Canis lupus familiaris: one gene and its partners. The main gene of each other region encodes a partner of the protein of the gene in region 3 in a complex. Links are inferred from orthologs where the notes say so. Each region holds a gene or a part of one and is shown on either strand. Other genes may lie near its edges. The genes, in order: WASF2, CYFIP2 and NCKAP1.

Region 1 (4,332 bases), on a different chromosome or scaffold from region 3:
CACATGGGAATGTGTTTGATTACAAGGTGCTGACCCTGACCTCTCTGGGATGTTATATAACATAAAGTACATGTACTATATCCCTTTTCTAAAATCCCAAAAATTTTTTTAAAAATTAAAAAAAATAAAATCCCAAAAATTCTATATGCAAAAAATATCTAGTCCCAAGAACTGTTTCGTTTTTTGGGGTTTTTTTTGGCCCCAAGGTATTTTGATATGGTATGCTAAGATTAAGTCTTAAACAGGCTTATACTAAGTCTTACTAGTCTTATAACTAATAAAGCAAATGAAAATAGATCTTCACATACAATAAATTCAATGCCTTAACAACTATTCACATACACAATCCTGTAAAATGAAGCATCAAAAAGATTTTTAACAAATGTCAAAACTCAAGCACCATTACGTTTTTTCAAGTGACGGTGATATACATCACCCAGTATCTAAATCAATTCTTCTTAGGTTGAAATTCACTAATTTAAATCATAGTTAAGACAGACCAAAAGACTGCAATTGGTTACTGAGGAAAAGAATCAAGGGACGCCTGGGTAGCTCAGAGGCTGAGCGTCGGCCTTTGGCTCAGGGCGTGATCCCAGAGTCGCGGGATCGAGTCCCACTTCGGGCTTCCTGCATGGAGCCTGCTTCTCTCTCTGCCTGTGTCTCTAAGTCTCTCTCTCTCTTTCTCTGTGTCTCTCATGAATAAATAAATAATCTTAAAAAAAAAAGAAGAATCATCCACTGGTGAACAACAAACTCAGTAAAATGTTCTGATTTTAAGAAATTTATCTCAGGTTTCATACCTAAAATTTTTGCATTCTAGAATACAATTCCTCAACTTTGAACAAATTACAATGGACTTTTCCTGTGAAAGCGGGGCCTCAGACACGGACAGCAACAGGGATTGCTCCTAAGATATTTGAACTGCAAGAAGAGTTTCAAAGTTCTTTCCTTCCTTCCTCCTTCAGTTGCTGCTTTTCTGGTTTTAGAATTTCAAACAAAGAAATACATATTGGCTCCACTGCTAAGAAACGCCCTCTTTCTCAGCAACTTCCTCTTCCAATTTTCTTCCCCTATCATTGACACATGAGAACAATACACTCTGCCCGTCCTACCATTTTGATTAACCAAAAGCTGAGGCTTGAAAAAATTAAGGGCTACAATTTATAGTATCCAGCTACTAGTCTTTGACTCCAGGTCCAAAATCTTCACTCATCTAGAAGTCAGATAACAAGGAACACAAAGAAAGGAAGGAATATTATTCTTCATCAGAGGCAGGGTACTGAAACTTTCGTTCCAAGAATCGGAAGAAATTTGAACAAATGGAAAATTTCTCTCATCACAAGAAAATTTAGCTTTCTTAGGGAGGAGGAAAAGCTACTGACTGGGCTGGCACCACTCTGAACCAAGAGTCAAGTCTAAACACCAACAGTTGGTGAACTTCTACAGGTCACTTGGGTCAGCATCCAAAATGAGTTCTTTGAGGTTTTGACCTTTTACACTTCACAGTAACTTCTACAATTTAGAAATGGTCCTTTCTAACTTACAAACCGAAGAAAAGGAATGCACTTATAATTAGCAATCCGGAGATCAAGGTCCAGCCTGTCTCCATGCCATAAGTCAACTCAAGTGTCTGGGACCAGACCCCTCCCCCCAGTTGTGACAAAGCAAACTTCTTTTAAGTGGACAATGACTTCCCCCTTGTCTGGTGATTCTCAAAGGAAATCACCTTATGGTTGGTAAGCTCTGTACCTCACCATGTGACCCTGGACAAGTTACTTAACTCCCCTGAAACTCAGTTTCCTTATGTGTAAGTTCTCAACAGCCGCTGTAAAAATTCAGTAAGAACATAAGCCCAAATAAGCACTGGCACATAGTAGGAGCAGCATAAACGCTCCCCCTCCTATTCCTAACCCACCAAGAATTCTTTTGGGCCTAAATTTCAATCATTGTCCCAAGAAGCCCCAAGGATGCTATCCTCTCTTCTGATGCACTAGTGTATAAAACTTTGCCATCTCAGAGGGTCTAGGATCCTAGAGGATCAAGACAATCGGGAGTCCACCTCATCACAGTCTGGGGTCCATCCAGAGCTTTCACGGAAGAGCCCCTCTGGCCAACTCTCCTCCTGACCCTGCAGAACCATCCAGTACACATATATACGCGCACACACGTACACACAGTCCTCTCCACCACTCCTCCTGACCTAGCAGGCCAGAGGTCTCAAAGAGCACTTCAATTCCTTCACGGCCCAGAGATGGAAACTGGGGAAGAACTTGCCCGAGATCTCGGAGAACATCAGAGATCCAACTCATGTACAACTGCCTGCAAAGCCTTCGTTCTACAAATAGGGAAACTGAGGCCCAGAGAGGGAAGTGACTTGCCCAAGGTCACACAGCGAGTTAGTGGCAACGCCAGGTCAGGTTGAGGGCACTTTCCAAGCCTAGCAGATTTGCGGGCCCCCTCCAAGTCTCCGAGGGGATCTCCAGGACACCTCACCCCTGCGGAGGGGAGTGTACAGTAAGAGGCCACCCCGCGCTGACCGCTCGCCCGGCCACTGCCCGTCAGCGGCGGGAGGCGCGCCACCGACTCCCCGGGGACCCCGCGAGGCTCCGGGCAGGGGGTAGGCGGTGGCGGCGCGGCCGGGCCCGGCGCCTCACGGCGGGGCCCGCCCGCGGGGACTTGTTGCTCACCTGGTCGCGCGCGGCCGCCCTCAGAGATAGAGGGGCCGACCAGCCGCCCTTCTCCGCACGGGGTCTGTTCCCGCGGGCCGCCTCCCGGGACGCCGCACAGCCAGACCCCCCTCAGCGCGCTACGCCCCCAGCCGCGCTCACCCGGCCCGCGTCCGCCATTACGCGATTCCCCGCCCTGGGACGCAGCCACACCCCGCCAAAGGCCCTGATTGGCTCCCTGCCCCACCCTCCTGGGGCTTTCGGGCATTCCATTGGCCTGAGTCGAGTGCCAGTTAAATAGCTACGCAAAAGACGTACTCCCGGGCAGCGCCTGGGGAGCTCCACCCGAGCTACTTCCGCAATCGGAGTAAACAGCGGGGGGGCAAACCAAGTGAAGTGGGGGTGGAGATGAAGCGGGATCAACTCCTAAATTCAGGATAGGAAAATCCCACCGAAGAAAGTGGGAAAACTCGTACAAAGTGTATTGAAAGATGGGTTCTTCTCGGAAGAGTTCAAAGAACCAGGATTTTTGGTGTAAAAAAGAGGGCTAAACCTCTGAACTTTCTGTGGACACCCCTCAAGTTGCAGGTAGTTTTGTCCCTTCTCCCCCGGTCTCAGGTCCGACTGAAAGGAGGGTGGGGAGCGTGAGTCAGAGGCTCCTGCCCGCCGCTAAACGGTTCTTCCGGGGCGAGGTCTGGGGTTTGGGACCGGGAGCTGGTTCTGAGAGGCCAGCGTGAGGTGAGCAGGACCCTGGTTCGGGCGCCACCTCATTCTGCGACCTCAAACAACTTCCTGGACTTACCTGGGTCTCAGTTTGTCCTTCCGCAAAATAGGAGCAGTCATGTCTGCCTCCTGTCCTGGCATATTTGTTGAGGCCACGTGCCTGAGTTGGGTGCATGTTCGGTTTTTGGGGTTTTTTTGTTGTTGTTTTTTTTTTTTTTAATTCTAAAAGGCTGCGGCTGGATATCAATGTGACAAACTCACAAGTTAGCGATAATCTCTCATTTAGTTCTCTACAGCTACTTTGTAAGGCGGAGACTTCCCTCCTTTTGCAGGAGAGAAAATTGAAAACTCCACGACTTAACCTAAGTCACCCAGGGAATTTGAAACAACCCTAGGAGTCAAGCCTGTATCTTTTGTCTTCCATTTCTGTATTTCTCCCCACTCCCCACCCCCCAGGCTTGGTGTCCCCTGAGAAAGACTTTCCAACACCAACCCTTTAGCATTTCAGGGGCCAGGCCAGTCCCCATTTCTTTGGTCACCATAGGCCGCAGCTGTTTCCAGGGTCCTAAGAATCAGGACGTGAGTAGGGGATGACAGGTGGGTCAGCAACCCAGACAGAATCCCAAACAAGGACACAGAGAGGCAGTGACACATTGAGGGCCCTCAGCAGGGCAGCCTCCATGCCAAGACTTAAATCCAGGTCTCTCTGCTCTCAGAACAGGGCTCTTTTCATTGCAGGATTGTTTTTCCCAGAAGGGCTGCCTTGGCTGTAATTCCTATTCCTTTTCCCTCTCTGGAAAGGAAGGAAGCCAAGATGGGAGTGGGAGGGGAGCAGCCTAAGACTTTAGAAGGGCAGAGACCACCAAGTGTGTGGTGCTGAAAGAGCCTCAGTGCTGGCTGAGTCAGTGACCTCCAGGCTCAAATTGGGACATGTGGTCTGACA
Region 2 (3,649 bases), on a different chromosome or scaffold from region 3:
TTCCATTTCCCAGGAGGCAAAACTTAGAAATTTCAGTAGCCATCACTACTATTGGCCTCGTCCTTCCATGTGGCAGGATTGTACTTCCTTGCGCCTCTCCGTGAAGGTGATGCAGTCATGTGACTTGCTTTGACCAATGACATGTGTCATTTCCAGGTGGAAGTTTTGAAGTAGCAGTAACACTTCCTCCTGCCATGGCAATTAGTGAATGTTCCATGTGGGTCCTGACTCGCAGACTACATGGACCAGAGCCCACAACCAACCCATAAAAGAGAAATAAACCTTTGATTTCAAGGTACTAAGAATTTGTAATTATTTGTTACTGCAGCATAACCTAGCTTATCCTGACCATTACAGAAATAAAGCCATTGAGTGACTAATAATAAACAGCTTAATAGTTGAGATAAAGGTTACTTCAATCCTACCACTCTACCAAGTGACACTTTACACTGAGTGACCTTGGCATTATGATAACTGACCACTTTAAGTCTAAGACTAATCTGTAAAACAGATTAATAGTATATACCTCCTTAAATTGCTGTAAAGGTTATTTAAAAAGTTGTTTTAAAAGCAAATGGTGAATATATAATAACTGATAGGTGATATTGCTGTTATTATTATTAACAAAATGTTCCAACCATAAAAGATTCATTAGAATATTAATATTACCCATGCAGTTTTACCATTTGTTATCCCTTAATATATCTGAAAAAGAAAGACCATCATCTTGGTCTGGGTCCTTTTTGATGATCATGATTTGTTAAGATCACTCTCCATATAGTGAATGCTATTATAATAGCATTGTACGGGGACAGATGGTAGCTACACCTCTGGTGAGCACAGTTATGACGTACAGAATTGTAGAATCACTGTGTTGTACACCTGAAACTAATATAACATTGGGCATCAACTATACTGCAATTTTTTTTTTAAAGTCATAAAAAGAGATCATTCTCCAGAACAAGTCACTGATCCCACATTGCTATGGTCTGAATATGTGTGTCCCCCAAAATTCATATGTTGAGATCCTAACCCCCAAAAATATTAGGCTGTGGGGCCTTTGGGAAGTGATTAGGTCATGAAAGTAGACTCTTCATGAATGCGATTAGGGCTCTTGTAAGAGAGAAACTAGGGGCTCAGTCAGTTAAACTTTTTGATTTTGGCTCAGGTCATGATCTCAGGGTCGTGGGATCAAGCCCCCGAGTCTGGCTTTTTTTTTTTTTTTTTTTTTTTTCTCTCTCTCTCAAATAAAATCTTAAAAAAAAAAATTCTAAAAAGACCACAGAGAGCTCCCTCACCCCTTCCACTATGCATACAATGAAAAGTCTGTGACCCAGAAGGATGCCCTGATCTAGACATCTAGCCTCTACAACAGTATTTTTTATAAGCCAGTCTGTGGATTTTTGGTATAGCAGCCTGAATGGACTAAGACAGCCCACTTTGTGCCAAGAGCTACAGATTTAAAAAGTCCACATTGTTGGAATAAGATTATAGGAACAAAAGGAGATGCGGGTCACTTGCCTCAGCTTCAATCTCATCATACAGGAACTGCTTTTTAAACTTGGTCAGAGCATAGTAGGCGCTGTCATTGTACAGGTCCAAAGGGTAGAGGACGTACCTGAAGAGAGAAAAGCAGAGACCAGCAGCTTACTAATCAATCTGAAAGCAAGTGGATTGGGAAATATGAAGGTTTGGGTGAAAACATGAATAAGCTTGGGGTTAATATGAGGGAGCCTTCCAGCATTCTGAGGTTTCCAAATTGCCTTCGGAATGCCTTACTTTACAGTCTGCCTATAGAAATCAGAAGTCCATGATGTTAATAAATCCAAGGCCTGAAACAATTAGTCTGGGACCAAAAGAAATCAGGTGGCAGTTAAGGATATTAGCTTCCTGGTCCCCAGAGATGACTATCTTCCAAGCATAGCTGCCTGACACTGACAGAGCACAGGAAGGGCAGTTGGGCTGGTATAATCCTGAGCCTATCTGCAAGGCTGAGTCAAATCTGGTATGACCTGATCCTTGGCATGAGCGCTTTTCCTAGTGGGGCCACACTGTCTCATCTCGAAAGTTCTGGAAAGAACAGAGCTCCCTAGCAAACTGCCCTCCCTCTGCACCCTGGGAACCTCCTTGCTGACCCAATCCTGCCTCTTACTCCATCATGGAAGGTTCTTTGGTTTCCAGGATATGGTCTGTTAGAATCCAGGGCATGGACATCTCAATTGGGAACTGGATTCGCCGGCCCATGGTTAACTCCAGGAAGAATTCTCGGAACCAGAGCTGAGAGAGGTCACAACATTGCTGCAGGGCTTCTGAAAGCATTAAGGAAAGAGCAGTGGGTTATACAGAAGAAGCACCAAAAGATCTTTGTTCCTATTAACTTGGTTCTTATTGCTTTTGCTATTTCTACCACTATACTGGAGTACAGCAGGTACTCATAAATATGACCTAATCAGTAGATCCTGCTCTTTTACCTGAAGGTCAGTCTAATATCTACTTAGAAAACAGTATCTGTTAGACTCACAGTAGCAGCCCCATGGTGGAGGAGAGCAGTGACATTTTAAAGCTTTCGATGCCCCCATAATCTCCATCGTCCTCCTACAAGGCCAACCTGAAGACCCACAATCTTAGTGGAAAAAGTGTGCTTGCTATCCAAACATAGTGTCAAGCCAGCTCCCCAAGTGCCCGCTTTTCACTGCTCCTCGTCCCCTTGTACATAGTAATTCTGGTTTTTATCCACTTAGAAGCCTTGAGGGGCCCTGGTCTGTGCTCTAATGGAGATGTCTGGATTCGTTAAGGTTACTGTTCTAGTACCAACAAATGCATTACCACTCCTGGGTCTCTGGAGGCTGCTGTCCTTCCCCCTGCCCTGTCCCACCTGCAGAGGTGTCCTGCTAATGGGAGAACAGGACTGGGGGACACGGCTTGGGGTCCAGCTTGGAAGCCTCCTTTGCAATGAGCAACAAGACTAATCAGCACAGAGCTGCTGCTTAAAAGCTAAGGCTTAAGATGCCTGGTTGCATCTGTGGGTATGTTGCTGGATTTAATCCCCTTTACTAAGGACTTCATGACAAATAAACCACAAATGTCTACCAGACAAATTTAGCTGAGTCAGAATAGCTGAACTGAGCCTGGCCTTTCCAAGTCCACCAGAAAGTGTGCATTTTTTACCTCGGTGGCGAAACGTGCCCTTCTGGCCGATGACCACATTTCTTTGCAACTTTTGGTCCAACAGCCTTAGTGGGTCTGGGACCTGCCCCCACCCAACCGTCCTCTCCCCACTGCCTGGATAGCGTCACTCACCACTGATATTGAGCAGGTGTGTGAAGAAGAAGGACTGTTTGTGGAAGTCCTCTATGGCGAGGACAATGGGTCCATCAAGGCTGCTCCTCAATGTCTTCTTGGAGCCACTCTTGTCTGCGATGAGCGATTCAAGCATGGTCCGCACCATGTACAGCTTGAAAGAGAAAGTAGGAGGAGAAGGTCAGGGGCTGGCCCTCTATCCTGGGGTAAAGGTTTCTTTGTGCTGTGTTTATATTTTTCTTTTTTTCTGCAGATGTCTGCTCTTAAAAAGCCCTTCTTAAGGAAGCACCAGTTTAGGGTTGGAGAAGTGAATTTCGAACATGTAAACCTTCATGAGGGAGAGTGGCCC
Region 3 (3,649 bases):
GTCTGGATTCAGCTGAGATTTGCTTAAATAGTTAATGTTTTTTCAAAATAATTGGTGTAATATAAGATTTAATTTCTTTTTAAATTTAGTTGTTGCCCAAGCATTGTGCCAAAACCATTAGTCAAGCAGTGAATAAGAAGTCAAAAAAACAGACTGGTAAGAAAGGGGAACCTGAAAGGGAAAAGCCAGGAGTTGAGAGTATGAGGAAAAACAGGCTGGTAGTGACCAAGTAAGCCATCCAATTTTATTGTATCTTTTTGTTACAAGTAGAAGTTTTTCACTTTTTGTATGGCATTAGTACTGAGGGAATGCTCATAGTTGTAAATTCTTCATTTCTTGTCATTAAGTATCATCATTATTATTACTATTATTTTACCTTTGTGTATTTGAATAATTAGTGCTTATTTCCAAAATACAGATTTTGGATTTTTGAAAATTTTGGATTTAAAGAAAATTCATTTAATAGGTAATATTTGTCTATATATAATGAATGCAAAAGGCCAAAAATCTGTCTAAAAATTGGGAGGATACACTATAAGTAATCCATAATTTTCCATTTATTAAAAAGCAGGTAATCTGAGACTTTATTTTGGCATATTGTTGTATTAGAACATAAATCATTTTTATAGTACGTATATCAGACTAGATATTAAGGATTGTGTTTTTGGAGGGTAGGCATTGGTGGACAATAATGGATGAACATTTGTTTTGTTTAAAGTAAATTTCTTACTTCTTGGCTTTTTTTATGTTGAGCAAGCTGTTTGCCATTTTGTAGACAACTTTCGTCCTCCAATACAGAAAGTACAGCAAGATTGTCTATGAGCATGTAATAAACTTTCTTGTATATTAAATCAATGTAATTGTCATCTGAATGGAGAAACAAATGAGTGATACTGTCTTTAGAAAACTGCTCTCATGTTAGTGATATCCTTAAAGATTTTGAACTTGTCAATTTAGGAAGAAAAATACTGAATTCTGGAATTATTATCCCCAAATGAGATCTGATACATTTATAAAAGTAATTTTGTATTTTTATGATGAAACATTGAACATTTCATTTACTGTTCATTAATATTTTTTCAGCCTTGATAAATTGCACACTGCACTTTCTGAGTTGTGTTTCTCTATAAATTATGTACCAAACATGGTGGTTTGGGAACATACTTTTACCCCACGAGAATATTTGACTTCTCATCTGGAAATCCGCTTTACAAAGTAAGAAAGAATAACAAACTTTTTTGTTGGTTCAGTTAATGAATTTGTTATGTACTTCATATCCTTGTTACGAGGAAAAGTAGTAGTAGAACTGATATAGTATCAAGAATAATGAATGGGGAAGTATAGAGAGTGGTGAACTAGGAATCACTTAAGTTACCCAGATTCTTGTCCCATACTTGTTATTAACCAGTTTTAACACCGGACAAGCCAGTTAATTCTGTGAGCCTTAGATTCCCTATAAGTAAAATGAGAAGATTGAAGCGAATCAGTATATTTCAGCTGGTAGGTAGCAACCAAGTCGGGTCATGAAATCAATGTAGAAGGTTGTAGTAAACATTTAAAAAAAGAAAGAAGAGGCAGGGAAGGAAAAGAAACAAGAATAGAAAAAATCATCCACTGCATGTAGTAAGTATAAATACTGCTTCATGAAATTTTTCACTTATATGTATATATGTACCCAGTCATGATGCCACATACATATCTTATAAGTCGGTCACAGTCAAATGTTTGAAACCATCAGGACTAGATGATATCTTGTTTTTTTCTGAGTTCACATGTATGCTCTTAGGTCAGTAGAATTCTAGACTCTTGAGGCACCCCTAATTAGAGTTCTATAAGTCTTATATATGTTTCTTGAAGTCATATTGCATGTGATATCAGAAACCTTTCAGTTTTATAAATGTTGCTTCAGCTTTTTTCTAAAGTTACACATGTATTTATTCAAGAAAATATTGATTGATTTGAGAAGTTTTTCTTTGAACATCAATTTATAAAACAAAATTTAGCTGAAGATTTTTCAGTTTTGTGGTCGTTAACAAGTAGTATTTATACCATGTGCTTGACATTGTGTTAGGTCCTGTAAGTAGTAATGAAATAGTATAAAGCTTAGAGCTATAGTTTGTGAGAAGGCTACAACAATTAGAGAACAAAATAGGAGAATATGTAAGTGGGTACTAAATTGTGTGTTAAGTCATCAGTTGCCTAGTGAGATGTTAAACAAAGACTGTCTTTTGCTATCCTTTAGTAAGGCAGGCATTCTGACAGTGAAACCTAGAATAGTTTTTAAACCAAAGGGACATTATGCACTCTGGTATTTATTATTCTCAACTCGGTGGGAATGAGAGGATGGTGGGTGGAAGATAGGGTTGACTTTACACCCCCCTTGTTTTCCTTCTGTAAGTAGTCTGGTCTGTTAATCCATAGAGAAACAGATGTTCTTTTGACAAAACATCTACTTAGTTATCAGAATCAAAGCAAGGCTGTAAACTTGTTTACCTGGGAAAGATTTTCATGCCAAAACAATAGGTTGCATTAGTTTGTTGATTTTTGCTGATCACTTGAGTACAGTCTTGGAACTTGAGGGGTTATATGCAAGGATAGCAGTTATTGCCTTGAGTTGATCTTCTGGGGTTTGTTTCTATTGATGGAATTTGATGTTGTCTTTAAGGATTTATCCTTACAAACACAAGTTTAAGATCTTTACAGATCCAAAGCTCAGAGTTTTAAAGATGGTAAGATGGGGTGGCCAACATAGGAAAAGAACAGGTAGGAAAGTATTTTCAAAATTTGTGTTTCCTTTCAGGCTTATAGTTCATTGGGGTATAAATATAACAGAACTGTGTTTTGTGTGCTGCAAATGATTAAAAAACAACATGGGAGGTTTTTTGTTGCCTTGTTTGACTGTTGTGCATTTTGTTGAGTGGCAGCACTGTCAGGCAGATGTGGACTCAAACCCTAGACCCCCTACTTCCAAACAAAGTGACCTTATTCAGTTTACTTGAGTTCTGAGCCTTAGGTAGTGGTGGTGGTGGTGTTTAAATCTGTGAAATGGTGGTGATAATAACTACATAGTAGAGTTATTAAATATGAGAATGATCGGTATAAAGCTTACTGGTGTGTTAGAGTGCCAGATAAATTTGAGCTGTGGATTAAATAATCCATTGTACTTGCTATAGACAGTGTATCTTGTTAAGGAATTTTTTTAAGCCCTCTTTATCCTTAAATCATTTTTAATATTGATGTCCTTAGAATTTTTAAAATCATATTTCTACTTTATTGTAGCTTTTAGGTGTTCATTTTTTTTGGAGATAATGATAGTAATTTCATGGCTTTGTAACAAATTGTCTTTAAAATTAATGTTCTTGCTACCAGTAGGTTAAATGGCCTGCTTAATAAATGGAAAAGTCAGTTCTTTTATTCACCCCCAACAGGTCAATTGTTGGAATGACTATGTATAATCAAGCCACACAGGAAATTGCAAAACCATCAGAGCTTCTAACAAGTGTAAGAGCATATATGACTGTACTACAGTCCATAGAAAACTATGTGCAAATTGACATTACAAGAGTGTTTAACAACGTTCTTCTTCAACAAACACAACATTTAGACAGTCATGGAGAACCAACCATCACAAGTCTATACACAAATTGGT

Evidence for each region.
Region 1: NCKAP1 (region 3) and WASF2 share a complex: the UniProt entries of both Homo sapiens proteins name them as parts of the WAVE2 complex. The link is inferred for Canis lupus familiaris from reciprocal best matches to the Homo sapiens genes NCKAP1 and WASF2.
Region 2: NCKAP1 (region 3) and CYFIP2 share a complex: the UniProt entries of both Homo sapiens proteins name them as parts of the WAVE1 complex. The link is inferred for Canis lupus familiaris from reciprocal best matches to the Homo sapiens genes NCKAP1 and CYFIP2.

The regions. Positions count from the first base shown.
Region 1 is NC_049223.1:72,194,606-72,198,937, reverse strand, and holds the start of WASF2 (wiskott-Aldrich syndrome protein family member 2), read right to left. Parts: upstream 2,914-4,332; 5' UTR 2,829-2,913; exon of another isoform or gene 2,688-2,828; intron 1-2,687. UniProt on the Homo sapiens protein: Downstream effector molecule involved in the transmission of signals from tyrosine kinase receptors and small GTPases to the actin cytoskeleton. Promotes formation of actin filaments. Part of the WAVE complex that regulates lamellipodia formation.
Region 2 is NC_049225.1:53,724,792-53,728,440, forward strand, and holds part of CYFIP2 (cytoplasmic FMR1-interacting protein 2), read right to left. Parts: intron 3,455-3,649; coding exon 3,301-3,454; intron 2,310-3,300; coding exon 2,153-2,309; intron 1,619-2,152; coding exon 1,522-1,618; intron 1-1,521. UniProt on the Homo sapiens protein: Involved in T-cell adhesion and p53/TP53-dependent induction of apoptosis. Does not bind RNA. As component of the WAVE1 complex, required for BDNF-NTRK2 endocytic trafficking and signaling from early endosomes.
Region 3 is NC_049257.1:26,348,531-26,352,179, reverse strand, and holds part of NCKAP1 (nck-associated protein 1), read left to right. Parts: intron 1-89; coding exon 90-229; intron 230-1,083; coding exon 1,084-1,215; intron 1,216-3,428; coding exon 3,429-3,647; intron 3,648-3,649. UniProt on the Homo sapiens protein: Part of the WAVE complex that regulates lamellipodia formation. The WAVE complex regulates actin filament reorganization via its interaction with the Arp2/3 complex. Actin remodeling activity is regulated by RAC1.